Neodiprion lecontei: one gene and its partner. The protein of the gene in region 1 purifies or fractionates together with the protein of each later gene. This does not show direct contact. Links are inferred from orthologs where the notes say so. Each region holds a gene or a part of one and is shown on either strand. Other genes may lie near its edges. The genes, in order: ribosome biogenesis protein BMS1 homolog and RNA 3'-terminal phosphate cyclase-like protein.

Region 1 (6,400 bases):
GTCTTCTCTAGGCTTTTGAAATGAAAGAGGAAATGGATCGGGCCAGTTTTAATTACCATAGATATCATTATAAACACACACTATTGGGGAAAAAAAATGGATCAAAATAGGTCAATCTGAATTGCACTTGGACACAGTCCACACAGATTTATTGAAATACAAATTCATTATCGACGAAAAAAATAACTTAAAGATATATTGAGTGGAATTTGGAATAAGTGTTTTCAATATTTCGATTGACGGAAAATCACAACATATTGATCTGTACAGTGAATTCACCTAGATAACAGATGTTGAACACAAAAGTCAATAAGTTCACACTAGTAGGTGAACAAGATTAAAACAATTAATTTTGACTAAGGATAGAAAAAGGCAATTCAAAATAACGATCGAAAATATACATGGTTGTTGATAGAAGAAATAATATTACAGATATAATGAAACAGTAGTCTTAGTTTCTTTTATTTTTATTTTTAGCCTCCATTTTACTAAGTTTTCTGAACACTTCTTTCTTCAACTCTTTTTGCCTGCCCATTTTCCTTGCTTCTTCAATCTGCATTCGGGCTTGATGGGCCATAATCCTTCTGCTCATTGCTTCTTTCAGTTGATCCTGTTTATGGCTGTACGAAGTTCTAAGCATTTTCATTAGTTTGGCTACCTGTTCCTCCTTGGGCTCTCTAACGACAGCTGGTCGTCGATCTTCGAGTTTCGGTCTATGGTTTTTGATAACAGGTTGTAATTTTGGTTTGTCTTTGTATGGCAAACCCTTCTGCAGAGTTCGCGGTATGATCAGTGGTTTGAAAACTTTCGGATCTCTTTTGATCTGTATATAAAGTGAATCCGAATTAGGTTGAGCCCTTAAATTATTCTCCCTCTTGAGTTGACCAGTCGTCCTCATTCCTCGCCATTGATTCTTCTCACTCGGCGGCAGCAGCAGCGATGTAACGGGACTGTAAAACTTCGGTACATCTACCTTGTACCAGGTTCGACAAAACACAATGTCACTGAGCAACACCTTGTCTTCAAAGGTTGCACGAAAGGCACCCTGTGGTTTGGAACATGCCTTCTTTATCTGTCCACGAATGCCGGACACAGTCCGCAATTTGGCGCCTTCAAATTTGGCCACTTCCAAGCTGGAATTGAACATCCCCTTGATGAATGCTGTCTTCTTGTAAACCTTGAACGGGGCACCAGTCAACTTGAGCTTTTTGACGATATATGTGGATTTGTCAAGCTCGACTATCGAGCCGGTTGCCGCGATGCGAAATCCTGCTTGCCTGGCGGCTACGTCTTGCACCGCCAGAACTCCGGTGCCCTGAGGAGTTATAGGGCCCCAAAAATGAGCCATGCAAGTCACATGCTCGGGCGTGTACTTCAGCATCCTATGCTTCAGATTGTCTTCGAGCTTCGCATAGATGGGCAAAGCCTGGAACCGCCGCCATCCGACAGAGATAATCAGCGGGTCTTTGGTCTTCAGGATCTTCTTGTACCACCGGTGCTTTTTTATCCGAGTCTGCACAAACCCAATGTTCTCCTCGCCATGCAACAGTCCACCGACAATCAGCGGGTAGGTCGGGTCCAAATTCGTCACCAGCTCACAGGGCACCGAGTCCAACTCAACACGGACGTACATTCCAGGCCTGAAACCCTCGAGCTGGACCCTGATTTCGTCCGCAATGCCCTCAAACTCAGACTTGTTCAACTGCGCCTGCCTCTCGACTTCCGACTTTAACTCGTCGTAGTAGGACTTGTCTTCACCCTTGTCATACTCCGAGTCGAACTTCTCCTTAAGCTTCTGCTTCTTCTCAATCAGCTTTCGCCGCTCATCCGCCTCGCTGAATGTCATCTCTTCAGGAGCCTCAGCCTTGTGCTTTTCCCCGGTTTCTAGATCCTCGAAATCTCCGTACAAATCGTCGTCATCTTCCAGGTCGTCGAGCTTCAACAGCTCCTCGGCATCCTCGGATTCCTTCCATTTACCAGTCACAAAACGATTCGTTAGCAGATTGCGGTTTTCTTCCAATTCCCAATCCTTTGACAAATCTATGGAGTAAAACACGCTCTCCTCTTGATTCCGCAGTTCTCGTGCCTCCAGTTTCTGCCTCTCCTGCTTATTTACAATGCGAAAAATACCGCCAATATCTTCATTTTTTGAATCTTCATCCGAAAGCGATTCATCATCGACAGCTACGAAAGATTTGTCAAATTCGCCGTACACAATTTTCATTAAATTTTTTTGGGATCTCAGCCGGTCTGTAAATGCTTCGCTTGCCTTTTCCGTCAGATTTGACTTCCATTGTAACTCATCCTCCACATGAACATCATCGTTCGAATTTAGCTCAGAATCATTATCATCACTCTCCTCGTCAAAACTTTCATTTTCGCTGAGATCAGCCTCTGATCTGTCGTCCCGATTTTTTTTATTACTGTCCAGCATACTCAATGCCTGAGAGATTTTATCCTTTATATGACTATCGGGATTACTGCTAAGTCCGCGATATATTTGCTCACAATCAGTTATAGCCTGATCTTTGTTCTTAATGAATTTCACTGATACATTTCCATCTTCGTCTTCAATTTTTTTTCTTTTACAAATAATCCCGTCATCTGCCTCTGAACAGATTCTTTTACTCCTCTCATTACTTTCCAGTTCATCTCCATCCGAATCATAATTTTGCTTACCGAAATCCACCTCATCGTCGCTGTCTTCTTCGTCGTTAGGTAGCTCGTTCATCTCGTCGTCGAATACTACTTTGCGCCTGATCCTTTGTTCTTCGATAACTGATTTACTCTTCAAATCAGTATTGAACTCTTCTTCGACATCTTCTGATCTAATCAATGCCGTGCCGCTGAAAATTTGCATTTCGCTACGACGCAACTTGGTGTCAATGGTTTCCTGCGTTTCCATCAGATTACCAACCAGACTTGGATCCTCTCCCTCCTTCTCTTGATGAGAGTGGCTCCCTCCCAATTCCACATAGACGGCATCCTTATCGTAGACGATACCGCCAACTCCCGAAAATGGAGCATAGATTAGTCTCTCCTTTTCAACGAGAGAGCGTTTCTTTATTTGATCAGGCAGCGGACAAGGATCAGGCAAGAAACTGACATCCTTGATTTTGAGGTCTCCGCAGCCAGGAATATGTACAGAAGTTTCCTTGTTCAGGGGAACACCGCGCACGTATCCATAGAGACTGATGGTTCTGTCAACTTTTGTATTTTGTCTGATGGATTCTGGAGGAGTGAGATCCTCTATCCTGTCTGCCAGAAGGTACGGATGCGTGGTCCGCCAAGTCAAAGGCCTGAACTTGATCACTGATATGAAACGAGCTAGATTCTTCACTTCATTGCGGAGATACTCGTCATGCAGAAGTCCAGATAAATAGAATAGCTTGGCTCCAGCGTAAACTTCAGTCCAAAATCTGTGCTTCAGTGTTTTTTTGATCTTTCTCAACTGCTTGGTATTCTTTATGAGGTCCAGATGCGTCAGCACACCCATTATTCTCGGCATACCATGCACCTGGCATATGTTTAGAAACTCAAATATCTCCATTTCAAAACCAAACGACGCATCCACCAGGAGCAAAACCAAATCAGCTACTTTTGCTATGTCAATCATGCTATTGATGTCGTTGTTGCATTCAATGAATGTTATGCGACGTTTTTTACCAGAAACAACAGTTACTGGCCCAAGAATATTCGACAGTGGCTGCCTAGCAAAGCTCTTTATTAGACATTGCATTAGCATTGATTTGCCCACTTTTGGAGGACCAACTAGAGCCACTAAGACTGGCGGTGGTTCCAGAGGCGTTCTATCCACCAACGGTATATGCTGTTTTTTTGTTTCAAGGTCTTGTTTACGTCTGAAACCACGCTCAGCTCTTATGGCCGAATTGAATGTGAAAGCTTTTGGGTTCTTTTGCTTGTCTGTCAACTCTTGGACATGTTCATTTTTGTTTTTCTTCTTCTCTGCCTTTCGCCCCGCGTTGCGATCACGATGCGACTTATGCTTAACCCCTCCTTCGTCAATTCCAGACATCTTTACTTACGGTTTAGTCATTAACAATTAACCGGAATCTTATTTATCATTTCATAAGATTTGAGGCATAACATAACCATAAAATTTATTTTAACCATAAAACGTACTAAACATAATATATTTTACGTTAATTTCTTGACAGTTTGTGAAGGTTGTAGAATTATTTGTGGCAATTTACCAACTGTTGATGATTGAACGTGTTATTCAACATTATTTTTCAAAGTTTAAAATACTTTACACGTAACCTCACAACTCAACGCGGTGCCACACGATGCCGTTCAGTGCTGTTCAGTGATATAATGTGTGTGAAGCACATGTTGGGCACGTTGATGAGCGCAAATAATCAGTGCTGCCATGTGGCAAAACTACAGACCCTACTTTAGCTACACGGATCTGAACGGCTAAGAGTTGTTTGTTTACACCTTAGAGCATATACTATGGAGAAAGCATGGTATACCCTTTCGTGTAAGTGGAAAACGGCTCAGAGTGGGGAATAGTAAGACGAGTACTTTTCTCTGCCTCGCACGCTCGTGATTGGTTGCCGTAGAGAGGATTACTCGTCTTACTATGGGTATGATCCGATATACACTCTGCTGCGAGCACTGCTCAGTGCTCTTACTGGGGAGAAATTCGTTCCGTCGCAACGTATATTTAAGGCAAAGAATTTATTTGTAATACATTGATCAAATACAATTGATAAAATTTAGGATATACATAAACAAACAGTACAATTTATGCAAATTCAACAAATTCCGTGATTATTGTTTGTGATTAACGATACGACCGATACGTTTAGTAACGGTGATTATGTGCGTAATTTGTTCCAGTAATGATTAGATATCATGAGTGCCTTTAAACGTTCTCTGAGACATTTTCAGAAAAGAATATCTATATTTTTCGTTTTCAAACGTCACGTAGTTACCTTTACATGTATAAAATTATACTAAACAGATTCTACAATTATTATAATTTGGGTTACAACCTTTCGACTGCAGTTGAGAAAGCGTTAAATATTTTTGTAATTTTTCGGAAATCTGATGCTCGGGCATGGTTATTGTTGGGCGAAGTATCGTGCCACGAATATATCTTCAAAATACAAATGAACGAACGACAGTTTTGATTAAAAGCGTCAACCAATAAAGGAAAGCAACCTCATTTATGAAACGTTTGCCACAAACTTCGTTCTGTATGTTTCACACGATATGTATATTACATTTACTTAAGTTATGGCGAACAGGTTGTATAAGTAATTTCGTCACTGAATCGGTGTCCGATAATTACAACTTATTCCTACCAAAGCCAAATCGAACTTTCATATCTGAAATTGATTGATAACGATAATGTTCTTAACAATAATTAGTGACGCAATTGACGATAGTGTTCGAGCATCACATGATTCGATGATATATTGCTTGCATTTATGCATAACGTAACAACAGCGAACGGGATGCCTAGAAGAAGTTACTGAAGAATCCTTTGCTTTTTTTCGCTTTTTCAACCGCCGTCGCTTGACGGAAAATCGAATCTATATCTTTGAATACGTCTGCGCTGGACTTGGCTGCATTTACATGGTAATGAATACCACGTAATGCGTAATAATCGACCAATGGTGCAGTCTGGGTGTGATAAGTGGCCAATCTCTTCTTTAAAGTGTCTGCATTGTCATCCGATCTTCTAATCAAAGCTTCTCCAGTAATCTGTTGACAACATCAATAGGGTAATCAATGAAAAGAGCAGTTACCAGTTCAGATATTGATCAATTTACCATAATCCCAAGTTTTCGCATTTCTCTTAAGTGGAACAATAAAACAAAATTTCATTTCATCATTTTACCAATAGCAAGCAAGCGTTTTCAAATTCTGGTCATTTTCTATTGCAATTCCTCCATTTAATGGATTATTGGAATAATCCGTCTTGTATTAAGCTAAAATGCGAATTATCCTTACATCATCCTTCATCGGAGCCTTTGGTGGCGAAAATTCTTCATGATAAGATCGCCCACTGGATGGATGGATTAGACGACCAGTTATTCTGCGCACAAGCAAGTTATCATCTATTCCAAATTCGATAACTGCGTCGAGCTTCGTTTTTCGTTTTTCCAGGATATTGTCCAGCTAATAAAATTAATGTAATTGTGAAAATGGCTGATTGTACAGAGCCTTGGTTTCCTGGTGGTCAAAATGTTACTGATTATTTTTCAACAGGATTCTGATAAATTTTAAAATTTCTAGCATATTGCAAAAAATGTTTTGTAAGCTCGGTTTAGTTCTTACTATATTCTTACATCACTTTCATGTAATTTGAACACAATTTGCACAGCTTTGAACAAGTTTTTTGGAACCACAAACTTTGTATAAAACTTAT
Region 2 (6,400 bases), on another chromosome or scaffold:
CAAAAGCTGCAAAAATGGAGCACATCAGAGATAACATCGATCTAAACTTTGTCATAAACGATCAGCACATGAAAACCTTATCCAGCTTACCTCAAAAAAAGTATACATGGGATCCAACCAACGTCTGTTGAGTGGCAAACATGTACTCGGTATAAATGCAGAATACTTGCAATGTTTACGTATTTTTATATCATTCATACACCTAATTAAAACCTAACTGACAACTGGAGCGTAAGTTGTTGTTAATTATGAACAACCTGGCGGATAGAATTGCCCAGCTCTGCTGTGAAAAATATAATAGTTTTGGAAAAACAGGAAAACCACAAGATACAGAGTGGACAGTTCTAGCTGGAATTGTTTTGAAAGATGCACAAGAATCTTTGTCAGTTGTATCGCTGGCTACTGGCACAAAGTGTTTAAGCGGTACTGAGTTATTAGATACAAAACAATGGGAAATCGGAAGTAGGTTGAGCGATTCACATGCTGAGGTCCTAGCCCGGCGAGCGTTTCTACGCTACTTATACCATCAATTAAATTTGAGGTTGAATGACAATAATAGCGATATTTTCGAATTGGATGCAAATAAAACAATCTGTCTACGGAATAATATTTCACTTCACTATTATTGTAGTCAAACTCCTTGTGGGGATTGTTCGATATTTCCTAAGATAGTTGAGAATTGTGTGTTCGGCGTCAACGCTTCTGCACGAAAAAGAAAGCTTCATGCAAACGACGATATGGAAGTAAAAAGAGCCGTTCTTCAGGAAGATTATCAGTGTGACGAGTACGACGTGCATCGAACAGGTGCAAAATGTGTCGAAATCGACAAACAAGATTCTCGCCTGCCGGGTATTAATTATCACCTTCTTGGACCCATAAGAACAAAACCAGGACGGGGTGATCGAACGCTGAGTTTATCCTGTTCCGACAAAATTGCTAAGTAAGAACATTGGGACCAATAAATTGAATTCAAACCTGGTATTATACCATTAAAAAAACCGTAGCTGCATCTCTTTTATTTTCATTATACGTATTGTAATTGTATAATATTTGTTATAGATGGAATATTATTGGTATACAAGGGGCTCTTTTATCCAGACTAATCCCACCTGTAATAATCGACAGTTTTTGTATTGGAGGGCAATCTCCATTTTCTCTAGAAGCTATGCAACGTGGTATATGTGAAAGGTTTGCCACTAGAAGATGTCCAGTTTTCATGCAATCGGAACAAAGTTTCGTCCACAGAAAAGGAGATAACAGGGCTCGGCCTTGCCCCTCTAGCATAATATGGTGTGCAGTACCCGAAAGGTGAATACCCTTGCCTTATCTGAACATTGAGTTTTATAGTGGTCTGATTCTAAGACAACTACTCGAAATACACCTGTAGTAGATGAGTAAAGGTTTCTTAAAAATCACTATTTCACAACTGTATCGTTATTTTGAAGAGATTTTAACCGAAGAATGAGTATAATTCACCTTTCATTGCATTTCGAATAATACTAGAGTTGTGAAATAGCCATTTATTCTGGTAATGCGTAATTATATTAACATGAACTTCAATCTCGTTAAAATGGTACATAGATGATTCATGTGAAAGTAATCATTTTTCAATATAAACAGACAATTGGAGATATCTGTGGATGGTCGAAAGCAAGGCGCAACGAAGAAGAAAAAAAGAGGAAATTACTTATTAATCAGCAAGCAAGAACTTTTCAGAACATTCCTCGTAACTGTTGACAAATTCAATAGAACAACAGCCAGTGAAGAAAATCACCCGAAGAAAATCACATACTATCATGCAAAGCAAAGCTCTGCAACTTATCAACAATCTTGGCAATTGTTAAAGTTACAAAGTTTTCGGGCATGGCCTGCGAAGCCATTGTACCTTCAAGACTTTGTATTAGTATAATCTGGTGTAGCATTTTGACAATTTTACAGGTTTTAGATTGTAGTAAATCAGTCTGACAGATTCGGGTGTAAAAGTATCAAGACCTCTGTTTAAATGTTTGGGCTTTATTTTAGTAAATAAAAATTACTCACACTTAAGAGCTACATGACACGGCGATTGATATTCGAATATCCTATTCCAACGCAAGTTAATAATACCAGACTTCGTTCCTCGACGATAGTTTCATCACTGCTCAACATGTCTATCTTAAAAACAACACCGAAAAAGTCTCTCAAATCCCGTAGAAATTGTATTCTGAAAATCAATAAGATATAGTCTAATGATAATCAAGCCTTTGATAATAACAATAAAGTGTTTTTTTGTACAAAATGACGTTCACTTACGCGGCTTGCGTCAATGGGCCTACGGTCATCTTTGAAATGTCTTTCTTACCAAGTGCCATAAACAGTGTTGCCATGCTTTGAAAGGCAGAATCTACACATCCACTTCTGTAAAGTAATTGTTTCTATAAAGGTGTTGATTAAATAATAACACATTTAAACTTACCTGTATATTTCATCCAAAAGATATAAGGCTGCCTTTTTACCAAGATCTTCAGGAACGCATGGTAGAGATCCGGTCTCTGTCAAGGATGAAAATGCTTCACCACTCAAAGATACTCCTGTTGTCGTTTCAGCCACTAAAGTAATTCCAAAACCTAGGGGTAAAAAATATTTATCTGGATATAACACGAATTTCAACCTCAACTGATAGAATATGTTCAAACTACATACTTTCATTGTGAATTAACTTACTGACAAAGAAAGTTGTTAACATCGATCTGTTAACTAGAAAAATTATTTTTCGTAATAATAATTTTACCTGGAGATTTACCGCTTGATGAACCTCGACTCTGATCTGTGTGAATATAAATGTCTGGAAGAAATTTTAACAGACATCCTTTAGCAGATTCCACCATGCGATTGGCTATTGCCGGGGATACACGTATCGAACACGCTACACCTCGCACTCGTTTGACCATTCCACAATTCTGGCACTATGGCAATAAGTTTAAGGTTAGGCTCCGTGTACCGCTGGATGATTTCAAATTTATGACAGTTGTTTAAAAAAATTGTTAACCAACCTGTATCGACTTGAGGTGACGATTCACCGGACATTTAAACCATACTTCGCCACCGCCTAATGGAGCAACGCCTCTCTTAGAAATATTCAATTCCACGTCATCATCCCCCACAATGAATTGCTTAATGACAGGAATTCCGCTGGCTTTCAGTCTATCGATAGAGGGGTCTGAAGTAATCGGAAACCAATTACTTTGATAGAACGTTTGATTTTTAATATGCACATTACAGAAATGAACAAATTTTCAAAAATTCTTACCAAGAGTATTGTTGGTTATTCCTTTGATTTTGAGTCTGATCATTTTCTTACAAAAAGGGGCTAACATCATGACAGCTTCTAAATAGTAACTGATACCTCGTTCAAGACTACATTCGTGTTCCAGATCTCCTCCGACCAGTAAACCAGGAATATAAGAAATAATAGTGCCAGTCTCATTCAACTCTATTCTGGTCCCATTTGTGATTTTGTCCATGAGTCGAACGAAGTTGATTTCATATTCTGTAATAAAAACCAAAAACATAAATGTCGAACTCCATGATTAAAACTAAGGAACTGAATTGGTCAACAATCGGATCCGTCCAGTTCGAAGTTCTAACCTCTAAGGCCGGGATTGTCATCGTTGATTCGTATCCCCGTGATTCTTACGGGTTTCCCGGACAATGTTGCCAGTAGTAAACGATACCTAAAGTAATTGCATCCTTCGTACGTGAGTACGTTGTTTATAAGTTTTCCTGGCATTCTTACTCAATTATATTACTGTGATCAAGTTTCAAACAATAATCACCGTAAAGCACGTGGTGTTTATTGCGATTCCCTATACTTTTTTTCTCTTATTTATTTTATCTTCTTTTTTTCTCGTCCAGAGAACCACTGACTGATACTTGACTGATACCTACTTATTGTCAGTGAGAGAAGACCTCGTTGACCTGCGTTCCTCAAATTGAGTCAAAACAACAATCTTTGACGTCTTTCCAATATTTAGGAACGCAAACTTTCGCCAACGGCCTGGCCAATCAAAGAAGACCCTGTGTTCGTGGAAAACGAAATAGAAGAAACGTAGAAAACATAGCAACATTTACGGGGTACAACGTCACCCTGTAATTTATTTATAAACTCAGGAATATCCGTACCGCACTTTGTACTTAGCTGGACGTTACGTTGGGCGAATGAGTGGTTAGAGATTTAGGTATTGCTTGAACCGGCGTGCGACTTTCTAAAAACCACGTAAGTAGTTGAGCCATTAATCTAAAAATTTCGCTAACCAAGTGAAAATAGACGATTCAGCCATTTCATATGTAATCTTCTGCGCTAACGTGAAATTTTTTTTATACCTTATCATCGCATTCGACAAGACAATATTCCTGTGAGATATGAGTACAAGACTCGCCTACATGTACGAGTTTCATTACGATTCAACAGTCAAATCCTTGCTCCCCGCCATCTCCTCGTTACATACATTTTTAGCCTTGCATCGACACAGAATATTTGTCAAATTCATAAATAGTATTGCGTCATAGGCTGAAGCTATCTGATCAAAGTTCGTAAAGTCGGTTGTGATTCACTTTTAAATCTTAGTATACAGGTATTGCATTTGATCTCATGTCATTACTGATTTTTTTTTTTTTTGTGACAATTCTCATTACTTTACTCACTTTTCTTGAGCCAAAGAATAATTCAGACAGTTCAAGTTTTTGGATATATTCAATAGTGTAAAATCGACTCGCATCCTCAGATACAGTATTTTGTAATAGATATCTGTAATTTGGGTAATCTTGGGTCTTTTTGGTCTTATGCTGACAGTAATCGACACTAGCAAGTCAGAAAAAAATTACTGAATGCTTAAATAAAATGGGCTCAAGAGTTTCCCATTTTTCATTTGTAATTCATCCGTTGGTCAGTCTATCATAGTACAATAATATCTTGGATGTGACGATTTAATTTAATTCAAAATTCACCCGGGCTAGAAACGACAGACATTTAAAAACTTTTCAGTACCTGATATTAACCAAGTGTGTAATTGAAATTGTTCATTATTATTTTCAGATATATTCGTCTGAAAGATAAGAAAGCAAGAAAAAACGGTAATAAAGATGAGCTTGCAATGGACGATTATCGCTTCTTTTTTATATGTGGAAATAGCTGTTGTTCTGCTCCTCGTTTTGCCAATAGCATCCCCGAAGAGTTGGCAACGGCTTTTCAAGTCCAGATTCCTTCAGAGCTTGAGCAGTCAAGCGTCGATATACTTTTTAGTCCTGCTGGCCATTTTGGTATTATTTTTGCTAGATGCGATTCGAGAAATGCGCAAGTATTCTAACATAGAGACTGGGGAACATGTTCACTTAAATACAGAAATGCAAGGTACGAAATTTGTATACTATTATTTGTTGAAAAATGAAGTGCATCTGTGATTCAAAATTCAAAAAATGGGACTACTACTGTATGTGGGTTAATGTGTTTTCGTAGAAATAACATTCTTTGATAACGAAATACAATTGCATAAATTATAGGTAATATGCGGCTGTTTCGGGCTCAACGGAATTTTTATATTTCTGGATTTTCGCTCTTTCTGAGCCTTGTGATCCGTCGCTTGGTTACACTGATTTCGGCCCAAGCAACGCTACTGGCACAAAGTGAGGCAGCTATGCGGCAAGCAGTATCTGCCACCACCACAGCAAAATCTCTACTGGCACAGAAATCATCAGGAGAAAGTGCCCAGAATGATTCCAACGAGGCTCACGACAAAGCAGTTTCTGAGCTTAAAAATCAAATCAAAGGCTTAAATAAACAAATTTCTGAGCTCGAAGCGGAATTGCAAAAGGAAAAGAAAGACAAAGAAGCAGTCACATCGCAAGCAAAATCTCTTGTGCAGGAATATGATCGACTGAGCGAAGAACACGCCAAGTTGCAATCTAGCGGAGACAAAAAAGTGGAATAATTTTCACCATACTTCCTTTTGCGCAAAAGAGATGGTATTTGTTTGTAATTCTAGCTATAAAAATAATGTTATATTTTTATTGTAGGATTTTCAAAGCTGCATTGTTTGATTATTGAAGTTCTCAGCAAGTCTTTCTCTTATATTTATCTTTGAATGCTTGAATATTTCATGTTTGTACATAGCAACAATTACATTGTGACGGATTTAATATTGCTAATTTTTTTCTAAAATTTGGTGAGGTGCTTGAGCATTTGTAATTTCATTATGGTAAAAAGTTACGTAGAAATGAGGGCTTCTAAAGTTTTTAAATGATATACATTCGTCAGTTTAAAATATCAATCAGAGTCTAAAATTATGAATAGCATTAACCGGCTGTTGTTTATTAATTACCATTAGAGCAATTTTTAATATCGTTAAACATATAAATGTAACGT

What was found.
Region 2: the proteins of ribosome biogenesis protein BMS1 homolog (region 1) and RNA 3'-terminal phosphate cyclase-like protein purify together in Homo sapiens (co-immunoprecipitation; 4 studies listed by BioGRID and IntAct, with this or other methods). This does not show direct contact. The link is inferred for Neodiprion lecontei from reciprocal best matches to the Homo sapiens genes BMS1 and RCL1.

The regions. Positions count from the first base shown.
Region 1 is NC_060261.1:13,350,312-13,356,711, reverse strand, and holds the start of ribosome biogenesis protein BMS1 homolog, read right to left. Parts: upstream 4,398-6,400; 5' UTR 4,037-4,397; coding exon 452-4,036; 3' UTR 1-451. Other genes in the region: adenylate kinase, read right to left, coding at 5,488-5,733, 5,983-6,150. UniProt on the Homo sapiens protein: GTPase required for the synthesis of 40S ribosomal subunits and for processing of pre-ribosomal RNA (pre-rRNA) at sites A0, A1, and A2.
Region 2 is NC_060260.1:411,512-417,911, reverse strand, and holds the start of RNA 3'-terminal phosphate cyclase-like protein, read right to left. Parts: upstream 3,922-6,400; 5' UTR 3,770-3,921; coding exon 3,628-3,769; intron 3,530-3,627; coding exon 3,290-3,529; intron 3,200-3,289; coding exon 3,033-3,199; intron 2,946-3,032; coding exon 2,771-2,945; intron 2,607-2,770; coding exon 2,456-2,606; intron 2,398-2,455; coding exon 2,293-2,397; intron 2,204-2,292; coding exon 2,050-2,203; 3' UTR 2,041-2,049; exon of another isoform or gene 1,910-2,040; coding exon of another isoform or gene 1,621-1,909; intron 1,382-1,620; exon of another isoform or gene 1,309-1,381; coding exon of another isoform or gene 1,060-1,308; exon of another isoform or gene 985-1,059; intron 941-984; coding exon of another isoform or gene 249-940; intron 177-248; exon of another isoform or gene 132-176; coding exon of another isoform or gene 1-131. Other genes in the region: putative malate dehydrogenase 1B, read left to right, coding at 1-131; tRNA-specific adenosine deaminase 1, read left to right, coding at 249-940, 1,060-1,308, 1,621-1,909; B-cell receptor-associated protein 31, read left to right, coding at 5,122-5,389, 5,539-5,966. UniProt on the Homo sapiens protein: As part of the small subunit (SSU) processome, it plays a role in 40S-ribosomal-subunit biogenesis in the early pre-rRNA processing steps at sites A0, A1 and A2 that are required for proper maturation of the 18S RNA.